Linked DNA regions of Ovis aries. The protein of the gene in region 1 interacts with the protein of each later gene in a biochemical or structural test. Links are inferred from orthologs where the notes say so. Each region holds a gene or a part of one and is shown in the gene's direction. Other genes may lie near its edges.

Region 1 (5,966 bases):
ACCTTCAGCAAAAGCTTCTAAGACTGCCTCCAGGTTTAAATCATGCGGTATTTTTAGCAGTCAGCAGTGACCAGCGTACTCCCCTTTCCATACTGGAAGGTTATGAAGTTGCTGGAGTTGGAAGCCTCGCCAAACACTCACACAAACAATCGGTTCAGAGAAGGCTCCTGTGCAGCCTGACTCACAGTATCAGGAGGAGTGCATGACAGTTTGCTGGAAGATTTAAGCAGTCAGATTGAAAATTAAAGTCTACGATTGTCACCTTATCAGCAGCCACCTTAACGATCTTACAGGGTCCCTCTAAAATCCAGAGCGACTCTCCTTTATTTCAACAGTTTAAAAAACCTTCAGTTATCTCCCAGGTCTGAGGAGCAGCAAAGAGCAGCCCAGGTCTGTATCATTCTATAAGAGGAAAAATCAATGCCTATGTTTTTTGTTGTGTTAGTAACCCAACTCTTTGAAGACCTCAGGATAGAGGGAGGAGAAACCCAAGTACAATAATTTCACTTCCTGCTCAAGTGCCGATTTTTTTTTTCCCCAAGCATTGCATTTGTAGTGACATTTTAAAAACGCTCTTTAATTGTAGAAGGTTCTCTGCTTGCTTGAAGCAACAAAATGCCTCCAGCCTTGTGTTGGTGGTGGTGTTGTTTTATCTTCTTTTTCACGTGCAGCGTTTCTGCTTGACAGGTGCCAGATAGTGAGTGTGGCTGGGTTGAGAAAGCGCACCCCAAGGAAAGGGGTTGGAGGTTTTTTTGTTTGTTTGTTTAGGAGGTTCTGCCAGAGTACCTTCCAGCCAAGGGAGAAATCACCAGTTTGCAGACTGCTGTTTCTGCCGTGGTCTCTCCCAGTCTCCTTCTGATCCCTGACGGGTTCTCTCTCTGGTATAAAAACAGCCGAATGAATGACGAGGATATTGGCAAGCTCCACAGCTTGTTTTTCATGCCTAGCCTGTTGGGTCCCTCCAAATGAGTTTGTGAGCTTTTCTAAGTAAACCTAAAGGGGTTTATTTGTCAGAACTAGAATCTCTTGTGAACAGTTCACTGAAGCTGTGGTGTAGATGCCCATGTAGAAGACGGTGCCTGCTTTTCCTGCCGGCTTTGTTCAGCAGAAACAAGCAAATAGGGCGTTTTTAAAGGGCATCTCTGGTGTCAGGAGGAAACCCTGGGTTTTTAGCTCTGCTTTGCCGGCCCTGGATACCTTCAGAAGTTGGTTGGCTTCTGTGAATGCAGAGGACAGAGCTTAGAGAGGCATTGGCGTTCCAGGACTAACTGGGGGTCCCGGGTGCCCTGGCGCGGTAACCTTTGTCATCATTTATGCTCAGGATGGTGCCCTCCTGGCCGCGTGCCACAGTGCTCTCCGCTGCATCTGCTTTTAACCCTTTTCCGTTTATCACTGGAAGTCTGACAGTGCGCTGTGTAAACACCTCGAGGACGACAGCGTTCCGTGATTTCTGTTTCTAGAAGCCTCTTTGCTGACAGTGGTGTGGTGTGGCCTGTGTTTATTAACCATCTGGCTCCTGAGTTATTACCTGGGATTACAGTGAACAGAGAGCACATCTCGTCTCTGCAGATTCCTGTAGCTTGAGACACCCTGATGAGGACGGTTTCCTTTGCTCTCATCCTTACCCCATTTGCTAGAGCAGAGATGGTTCGTTTTAAAGACCTGTGGTTACCGTGATGTCCTTTTAGGCAGGTTAAATGAGTAGCCATCAAAGTGAGTATTAGTCATCTGCAGTGTGCACGTGTTGAAATCCTGTGTTTATGAACTTCAGTTGGGTTAAGTTGTGTTTCTTCTGTGGCCTCAACGTGAAGATCTTAAAGAACGAGGCGAATGCTCGTAATTTTATAATCAAAGCTAATTTGTTTGGACACAGACAGGGAAAGTTGAATCCTAACAAAAGCATGTAGGAAGCATGAAGATGGGTTCTTTCGAAGCTGAGCTGAGTGAGTTACATTTGCACACCAGGTACCACTCACAGCAGATCAGACCAGACTCTTACTCCTCTCCTGTCAGCCTTATGATTTGATCAGAAAGGTAATTCTGCATTAATTGGTTTGGGGAAATGCTCTGTTAAAATTAGAGCCCAGTTACCTCAGGGCCGAGTTCATATTCTATTTCAACATTTCTCTTGCAACTTAAAAAATAAGAATAAAAGAAGGTGTGTGTTTGTGTCTGTGTGCCCGGGTCTCTGTGCCAGTCTTGCATTCTCTCGTGGTGGTGAAGATTTATTTTCATGGTTTCATTTTTTTTCCCTCCCTGCCCGCCCCCGCCCCCCCCCCCAGACTGTGTTGCTGAAATTCGTTGGTTTGCGTCTCTTTTTCCTCCGTCTCCTTGATAGGAACCATGCTCCCGGTTTTCTGCGTGGTAGAACATTATGAAAATGCCATTGAATACGATTGCAAGGAGGAGCATGCAGAATTTGTGTTGGTGAGGAAGGACATGCTTTTCAACCAGCTGATAGAAATGGCCTTGCTGTCTCTGGGTTATTCACATAGCTCTGCTGCCCAGGCCAAAGGTAAATAATGCATCCACGGGGTTGGGGGAATTGCTTGGCATCCTTTGTTTACCTTGCAGAGAAAGCATCTGAATATTTTCATTCAAAGAACTGTAGCCTGTGTGTTACATGGGTTCCTTCTAGACTGTGGCTTTAAAAAATCGGCTTAATTCGGTTTGGTTTAGTTAACACGCATTTTGCTCATGTGGAATGTGGAGGTAGGTTTTTTTTTTTTAAATTACTTCAGCTGAATCATTAGTAAGCTTATTGACCTTAATAATCTGCTCCACTGAGGACCCACAAGGAAGTGAGGAGCGTATCTGAGCAGATGGACTGTTGAGAGTCAATTTGCATTTATGACTGAATATCTAGTTCTGTTTCTTTTATTCTGTTTCTGATGGTTTTATGGGCTGTAAAGTATTTTTCAATGCTGATTCCCATTGCAATCGAGAATCTTATCTAAATCGTAAAGCCATTTAGAACTGGTTCAGCTATGTCTTATTAGAACTTCCTGTAAGTTAGGAAAATGTGGCCTCTGCCTAGGTTTTATTGATGGGGTTTTATTTCCAAAATAATAAACAGCCCCACCGTCATTTACATAATTTCACAGTTTGGAAAACTGAGCTGAGCATATTTTCACTGACCTGCCTTTTGGAGGGAAGGGAATCATTCAGACAGAAGTAACAGTATTGCTTGTGGTGGGGGCAGTGAAAAGCAGGCTGGCAGTGGGTAGGTTATCTGAAGGGCCAGACCTGAGTGACACACGCTCTTTATCTGGAACAGGGCTGATCCAGGTCGGGAAGTGGAACCCAGTCCCCCTGTCTTACGTGACAGATGCCCCCGACGCTACGGTAGCAGATATGCTTCAGGATGTGTATCATGTGGTCACATTGAAAATTCAGCTACACAGGTGAGTCAGGAAAGCAGTTCCAGCGCAGAACGTTCTACTCACCTGATCGTTTGAAACAAAGTATCTCTGGCCAGCCTTCAGCTGTGACTCGCCCTGCATTTCAGAGAGGCTAACCCCAATCGATTTTGCCACCTCCCCCCTTTCTCCTTTATCTTCCTAATCTGAGCCCATCGTTTAGAAGCAGTGTTCCCCCCAAATGCATCTACTTGTGCAGGTTATCAAAAGACAAGACTTTTTCTGTGTAATCAATTAAATGATGCATTGCGAGAAGGCATTTTACATAAAGTTTACTTAAGAGAAAAATATTTTTGCATATCATGAACAGTGCCATCTGTGTACACTTTGTGAAAGAATGCCTTATTCACTATTGCCGAGCTCTTATTTATTTATATGATTTTTTTTAACCGTCTTAATTCGTACGAGCGGAGTCCTGAAGGGAAAACGGTTCCCACGTTCGTGTTTTCACGATGGCTCTTGAGAAAGCAGTACACCTTAAATTGTCTTCCCAAGCGCATCCGAGCAGGAAGGTAGAAGTAACATGGAAAAATAGCCACCACAGGCAGCTGATGTATAATTCATGCATCGATACAGCAGATGTGTTGTATAAAGTAATTAACTAATCGGAACAATCAGGAGACCGAGAGCAATCTCCAGATGCATCTGTTTGATGCGCAAAATGAAATCTGTCTGTCTTAAAGGAATGTTCTGCAGCGGGATGCAATCTTGTCATAATCCCCTTTCTACTCTGTGTCTCCAACAGTTGCCCCAAACTGGAAGACCTGCCCCCCGAGCAGTGGTCGCACACCACCGTGAGGAATGCGCTGAAAGACTTGCTGAAGGACATGAATCAGAGCTCCTTGGCGAAGGAGTGCCCCCTCTCACAGGTACTGGGCGTCGCTGGCACTAAATGACAAGCCATTGAGGGCAGCCTCGTTGGAGGAGTCGTGGGAAGCCATAGTCTAAAGCAGCTGGTATCGGAAGCAAGAATCTCCCCAAAATGCAAAGTGACTTGACCACCGGTGACTTTCAGAAGTGTGTGCGATTCATCCTGACAGTGTGGGAAAGAAAGGGGAGGGAAAGCCGCTCAGCAGAACTTTGCGCTAGCTCACGTGTAGATCCCTGCTCTGAGTGTTCTGAGATTGGACGCTTTGTTGTCCTGAGGGCCCGTATTTGAGGGAATAAGGGTGGTGTACCTTCCTGGAACCCCTAGATGCCAGGAAGCACCTTGGAAGTGTTACTTTGCAGAACGTCACCATGCTACCTGAATAAAGAAACAGAATAGCTTCTAGGTGCTTTCTTCATTACCACACAAAGGAAAAAGAAGAAGAAGAAATAGAATTTAGAAAAAAAATTACACAGAAAACAAATCTCTTCTCTCTAATTAAAGGTTAGATAGTTATTATTCATCAGGATTCTGTCACCAGTTTTATCCATTGGTTCAACCTCCCGCCCCCACTGTTTTTCTTTTCTTTAGTGGGGTCATACGTTTTCCTCTGAGATGCCTGTCATACTGTCAGGGGTTTCTGAAATGAGACGGAGATTTATGATTATCGTATTTGAATTTTTAGGATGAATTTTGTTGGAGGGGCGATAACTCTGGTGAGAGACTGCCTCAGTTTCTAGCTGTAAAGCTGAGCATCACTTCTGATGCCGTGCAGTTGATTTTAAAAGAAAAGGGCACTCTGAGCCTGCCCTTCGAGCTTGTGTGGTCCTGACGTTGCTGTGCCTTCATGCCGCCTCTCTCCGGGGGCCTCGCCTCTGAAGCTCACGCCACCGGAGAGTATACTTGAGATGCTGGTCTAACTAGATTTTTGCTGAATTTTTGCTGACGTTTTTCTCTCAATGCAAGGTTAGCATGGAAGCCTGAGTGCCACGCCTCTCAGGCGCTTGAGCGTGAACTGTGTGACGCTGTAGATATTTCTGCAGTAGAGAATTGCTCCAAGTTTGTTTCCGACGTGATGGCTGCGGAGACACATGGGTACCTTTGGAAGGAAGCTTGTGGGCGTTCGTGCTCTTCTTTCATGAAAGCTCCGTGCATTTCAGGTTTACTACATTAGGGTCCATCAACTTTACTTTGATATTTGTTAGCAATTATAGGAATGAAGCAAATGAATTAAGCTTATAATAAATGATGGCTTTTTATATTCTTTTAAAGTAATTTGTAGCCACAGGTGAAATATTCTCTGGTGTTAAGTCCATTTCTTGAAAATCAAAGACTTGTTGACCCTTTAGCGGATCTCCTCCGATTCTCCATCTCACTCTTTGAGTAGAGAGGATGTGAATTTCTAACCATCGAGTAAAAATGATTTAGATTAATTAAACACAGTTGCATCAATAGGAAGATATGATGAAGCAGGTGACCCTTATCTCTGGGGCTTTGGCTTTTGCAGACAACTCCAGATAACCTGTCAGTTTGGCCTCTAGGATTTGAAATTTGAAATGTCCTAGGAATGAAGGTTCTAACTCAGCATTAAAAATAAGTATAAAGGCCCAGTATAGGAATCTCACGTATCTTCACGTTACTAAATGTCCCATTGATTTGGGAAGTGAATTCAGGCAAAG
Region 2 (5,966 bases), on another chromosome or scaffold:
TAAGATAAACTCAGAGATTCTAAGGGAATTGTGATGATTAAAAATGGCTTCTGAAGTGAACGTTGCTCATTCATGTCCAACTCTTTGAGACGCCATGGACTGTAGTCTGCCAGGCTCCTCTGTCCATAGAATTCTCCAGGCAAGGATACTGGAGTGGGTAGCCATTACCTTCTCCAGGGGATCTTCCCAGTCCAGGGATGAAACCCAGGTGTCCTGCATTGCAGGCAGAATCTTTACTGTCTGAGCAACCAGAGAAGCACAAGAATACTGGAGTGGCTTAGCTATTTTAAATTCAAATTATCTCCGGAACTTAATGGAAAAAGAACCATTTTGTATTATACTGGGGAATTATTATGTGGTTCTTTGTGTTTTGCTAAATTGTTTTCATCCCTACACTGCCCATTCCCCACAGCAATCCCAGGATATTAAGTTTGGAGTGTATACCTTTTACTATCCTAATTATAAGTCTTTATCTAAAACATGAAAAACAGTTTGGTCAGAATTAAGATCAGTATTTTCTCTATTAGATTCCTAATCTGTTTTCATTTATCTGTTTCCCCTCTCCACCCCCATGAACATCTGTATAGAAACTTTCTGCTATTGTTCCTTTTTTAAAAAAACCTTTGGTTTGTAAGAATAATTTAGATTTTCACTTTTCACATAGTTGAATAGGGGTCAACTTGTCACATGGATTTTGGTTTTCGGTGGCTTCAGGCAGCCAGGTCCATGTTTCTAATTTCCCACAGTGTTGGTATAATTGATTTGAAACTGGAGCATCCTCTGACTTTTGCTGTGTGAAGAACTGGCCTGTCATAGAAGGTTCTGCTGGGGTTAGAGATGATCTTGTGGGTGTTGATATCTGTGTGCTAAGTATATTTTGAGAAAATCTTTGTAGGTTGGTAATTCTAAACCTTTCTATGACTCTCTAACCTCTTTGAGAATGTAATGGAAACTATAGATTGTCCCTGCTTAAAGATGACCATATATGTACCCATAAAATTTTATATAGAAAATTGTCCCATTTGTGGACCTTCCCTCACACAGATTCCATGGCAGGCAGATTATTGAGAGAAGATACTTGTGCTTCTTGTGTAAAACTTGTGTAAAAACAATGAATATTTCATAGAATTCAGAGATAGCATACTTAACATATAACTCAAAAAGTTCTGTAAACATTCTGTAAAGGTGGGATGAACCTTAGCTCTATATTGGGAACAAGGAAGTAATTGAGAATTGTTGTCTTAAATAGCAGATTAATCTATTTCTCAATCTATAGAATGAATAGAGTAAGGAACTTCCCTGGTGGTCCTGGGGCTAAGCCTTTACGTTCCCAGTGCAGAGGGCCCAGTTCGGTACCCGGTCAGGGAACTAGATCCCACATACCACAACTAAGACCTGGTGCAGCCAAATTGAAAAAAAAAAAAAGAATGAAAAGATTGAGAGTGTACAAATTATGTAGCTGTCTTGGTTTTTCCTGAAAGATTACCATGTAATTTAGAAATAAATGTTTTTGTGAGTTTCTAAATAGTATTCTAAACACGTGGATATAATACAAATAATGTCGTTATTCAACATCCTCAGTTTTCAGGAACTAATGGAACACTTGAACTTGGTGGACAAAACTTGATCCTGGAGCTTGACTTCTAGCATTTTCAGTATATTCTGCTGAGAACCAAAAAAATGTATTATAGACAAATAAGTTTGGGAAATACCATATGTTATATCAGGCTTCCCAGGTGGCACAGTGATAAAGAATCTGCCTGCCAGTACAGGAGATACAGCTTCAACCTCTGGATTGAGAAGATCCCCTGGAGGAGAAAATGGCAACCCACTCCAGTATTCTTGCCTGGAGAATCCCATGGACAGAGGAGCCTGGTGGGCTACCATCCATAGGGTTGCAAAGAGTCAGACACGACTGAGCACACACACATACATTTCCCTCTTAAAAATTTACAGTCCTTATTAGCTTTGAGATGTTCTGTACAGAGAAAACTTAATTGAATTTTTTCCATTGAAGAATGAGTGCTTTTACCGAATTTCATTGTTCTCTGTCAAATATCAACATGAATCATCCATAGGCATATACATGTCCCCTCCCTCCTGAACCCCCTCCCTACACCACCCCTCTAGGTTGTTACAGAGCCCTGATTTGAGTTCCCTGAGTCATACAGCAAATTCCCATTGGCTATCTGTTTTACATATGGTAATATAAGGTTCCATGTTACTCTCCAAAATTTCTTAAATGTGTTCAACCCCAGAGCACCCCACCTCAACCCCCCAACCCCTACCCCCGCCAGCATGCTTGAACAAATGACTGGAAATACTATGAGGACAACTACAGGTTAGTAGTTGTGACTATTGAAACTCTACATTGACAAAATTATTTATTTTGATCCTATTTAAATGCATTTATTCGTAATATGAAATGTCTAGTTTTAATAGTTGTTGCTGTTAAGTTTGCCCATCTTTTAGATTAGCTATGGAACAAAAATATCAATGAGATCATCTTTTAATAAAGGAAATTAAATTTGTTCTTTATTGTTTAGGTTTTGTTTATCAGAAACCAGTTGTCCACAAGAAGATCACTTCCCACCCAATCTTTGTGTGAAAGTGAATACAAAACCTTGCAGCCTTCCAGTAAGTCCTAAAAGCTATTTTTCCAGTGCATTCCCAACATAGCTAGCAAATAAGTCATCACAGCTGTTGTTAATCATAGTTTTTCATTAAGAAAACGTCTTTATTTTGGATGTATATTCATGTGACTGAGTGAAACACTTGTACCAACTATGTCCAATTAACAGCTGTGACATTAGCTATGGAGACATAGTCTAGGACTTGGAGTTGGGTGTGGTAGCTTTTAGTATTTTATTTAATTTTGGGATGAAGAGATTGTTTCATCAAACCTCAGATGTATTCTTGTGTCTGAAACCTTGTGGTAGATGGGAGATATGAAGACTGCTGTGCATTTAACGAAGGAGTGGGGGCTATTGTTGCTCACGTTTAAAATAGCCCTTATGTGTTTATCCAAGTTGTTTATGAATTCAACATGATTCTTAAATTTTTACAGATTTTTACGTTCTATCACCAATATTTTTCTCAGGTTTACTTTAATGAGACTGTAGGGTAGTTTCGAGAAACGTACAGAAAACTCTTACAAATGTTTGCTTCTCCACTTTTAAATGGAAATACTCATATTTTCTAATATGTAGTTTGTAGGGTGTTGTTTTTTTTTAAGGAATGGAAGTTTAAATGGTTGTGGAAGTAATAAATAGAAATGTTATATTTCATCCTTAGGGTTATCTTCCACCTACTAAAAATGGTGTGGAACCAAAGCGACCCAGCCGACCAATTAATATCACCTCACTTGTCCGATTGTCTACAACTGTACCAAACACCATTGTTGTTTCTTGGACTGCAGAAATTGGAAGAGTGAGTAAATTTTTGTTTCTTCCAGACTTTTGTTTTATAAGGAAGGGTTAAGCTCTGTGGCTACTTGAGCTTATATATAAATAAAATGGGTATAAAATGAGTTACCAAAGGATTTATTTTTTGTCTCACAGTGAATTTTCAACATGTTCCCATTTTTAAAATGGGATCTTGTAATATTCAATATTTTATAATGATAACTTTCACTAAGTATTTTCATAAACATCTTCCTATGTCATTTCATGTTCATCTGTATGAAACAGCTACATCATATTTCAATACAAGTATCTATAGTTTAGCCTGTTCCCTATTGTTGAACATTTATTTGATTGTTTACTTCAAAGAACATTTTGAAGACTATCCTAATAGCTCTAACTTTGCATACACGCATAGTACTTTCTTTAGAGTAAATTCCCTTAAGTGGAATTGCTGAATCAAAGACCATCAGAATTTAAAGAAATTTTGTGTTCACTGGCAGATTGCCTTACCAAAAGATGTTTTAAAAATTTATTCTCTGACTTTCAGTGTTTTTTCATATGCCTGTTGACTGATAACACTTGAGTTTTATTTTCTTTGAAATCTCTACTAATTTTTATAGGTAAATAGTGGTATTAGATTGCTTTAATTAGTACTCCTTTTATTATTAGTGAGATTGAACAAATTTATTTGTGATTATTCACATTTTAAAAATATATCAATATCTGTTTCTCTGTTGCTGTTTTTCTTATTTTTATTGTTTATGAGTTCTTACATTACTGATTTAACCTTCTTTCACATGCTGCAAATGTTTGTTTGTAGTTTATTGCCTTTTCATTTATGTGATTATTTAATGTGTAGAAGATTTAAATTATTATGGAGCCAAATTTTAACCAGTTTGTTTCTTTTTTTCTTTTAATTTATTCTTTATTGAAGTATACTTGAATTACAGTGTTGTGTTAATTACAGCTATACATCAAGGATATATGACTCAGTTATATATAGATATGTATATTTATATTCTTATTCTTTTCCATTGTGGCTTATCACAGGTTATCGAATATAGTTCACTGTGCTATTCAGTAGGATCTTATTGTCTGTCCATTCTGTATATACTGGTTTGCATCTGTAAATCCCTAACTCCTGCTCCTGCCCTCTCCCATCTCCGTTCCCCTTGGCAACCACCAGTTTATTTTCTATGTCCTTGATTCTGTTTGTTTCATAGATAAGTTGGTTTGTGTCATATTTTAGATTCCACATATAAATGATACCATATGGCAATTCTTTCTCTTTTTGACTTACTTCCCTTAGTATGATAATCTCTAGTTGCATAGTTTTGTTTCTTTATCATCTTTCCGCTCAGCCTCTGTTGGATTTAGTTTATCTGCCCTTCCCAATCTTACATAAATATTTGTTTATATTTTCTCTTGACTTCTGAGATTTCTTATTTTATCTTTACATATTTAGTCCATTGTAAATTTACATGTGAAATAAAAATTTAATTTTTTAAATAGCCAGTTCTAACGCCATTAACTAGACAAATGCTAATTCTGAAGTAACCATTGTTATATATTTGATTTTTATTTATCCTGTGTGTGTTTCTGCACTTTGCTGTATTGTTTTTTAGCCTAGCATTCTTTTTCTGGCACAATTTTAGAATATTTTTGATTATTACAATTTTATATGAGTTTGTATATTCACAAATTCATTTGAAGTTTGCAGAATTTATGCTATATTCCATGTACTATACTGAAAACTGTTAGTAACATAGTGAGAAAAAAAAAGTCCTGACTTGGAGCCAAAATCCAGTTTACACACAAAAATGTGAACGGTGTCACAGGAAATATAAAGAAGAGGTGCATGGTGATATTAGAGTATACTCGGGCACTTTGAACTAGAGAGAGGTCAGGCAGGGCTTCCCTGAGGATGTAATGACTGAGCTAAGAGTTGAGAGAAGGGCAGAAGGAATCAGTTTGGTGAAAGATTCAGAGCAAATGGTCTTCAGAGTAGCCCACTGGCAGGTGTGAGCCTAGTTCTTTTTTTTTTTTTTTTTTTCAGGCAAGACTTTATTGGGTCCCCTGCCGCAGCAAGGAGGAGCAAGAGCAGACAACAGGTTCCCTTGTTTCCTTTCTCCCTAAGGGGAGATAAGTTTGTACCTTACACAGGGTGAGGGTAGGGGTGTGTTGAGGGGTCGGACATGTGCAGTTGGGGCAAATTCTGGACAAACAATATGAAAAGACCAAAAAAACCCCACGGCCACTTCTGAAGAACCAGGAGCAAAAACAGGGTTTTGCAAGCAAAAGCAGGGTGCTGCAAGCAAAAGCAGGGTGCTGAGCACACCCCCTGCACTCAGCACCTCCAGTGGGGTGGGCAAACACCTAGGCCACTCTTCTGGCCTGACCCCAGAGCCAGTTGTTTCAAGAAACTGAAAAGGAGCGAGAATGGCTAGAGTTTGAGATGCCTTTAAGATATTCTGGATAGGTGGGCATATGGGCTCAGAAAAGAGTTTGGGCTAGAGGAAAAAAAAAGTATTATCTGCATATTGGTGATTATTGGAGCCATAA

The links.
Region 2: the proteins of SATB1 (region 1) and PIAS1 form a complex in vitro, tested with the Homo sapiens proteins (2 studies listed by BioGRID, with this or other methods). The link is inferred for Ovis aries from reciprocal best matches to the Homo sapiens genes SATB1 and PIAS1.

What each region holds. Positions count from the first base shown.
Region 1 is NC_056054.1:276,533,333-276,539,298, reverse strand, and holds part of SATB1 (DNA-binding protein SATB1), read left to right. Parts: intron 1-2,338; coding exon 2,339-2,515; intron 2,516-3,277; coding exon 3,278-3,404; intron 3,405-4,164; coding exon 4,165-4,288; intron 4,289-5,966. UniProt on the Homo sapiens protein: Crucial silencing factor contributing to the initiation of X inactivation mediated by Xist RNA that occurs during embryogenesis and in lymphoma.
Region 2 is NC_056060.1:14,946,244-14,952,209, forward strand, and holds part of PIAS1 (E3 SUMO-protein ligase PIAS1), read left to right. Parts: intron 1-2,546; coding exon 2,547-2,637; intron 2,638-3,294; coding exon 3,295-3,429; intron 3,430-5,966. UniProt on the Homo sapiens protein: Functions as an E3-type small ubiquitin-like modifier (SUMO) ligase, stabilizing the interaction between UBE2I and the substrate, and as a SUMO-tethering factor. Catalyzes sumoylation of various proteins, such as CEBPB, MRE11, MTA1, PTK2 and PML.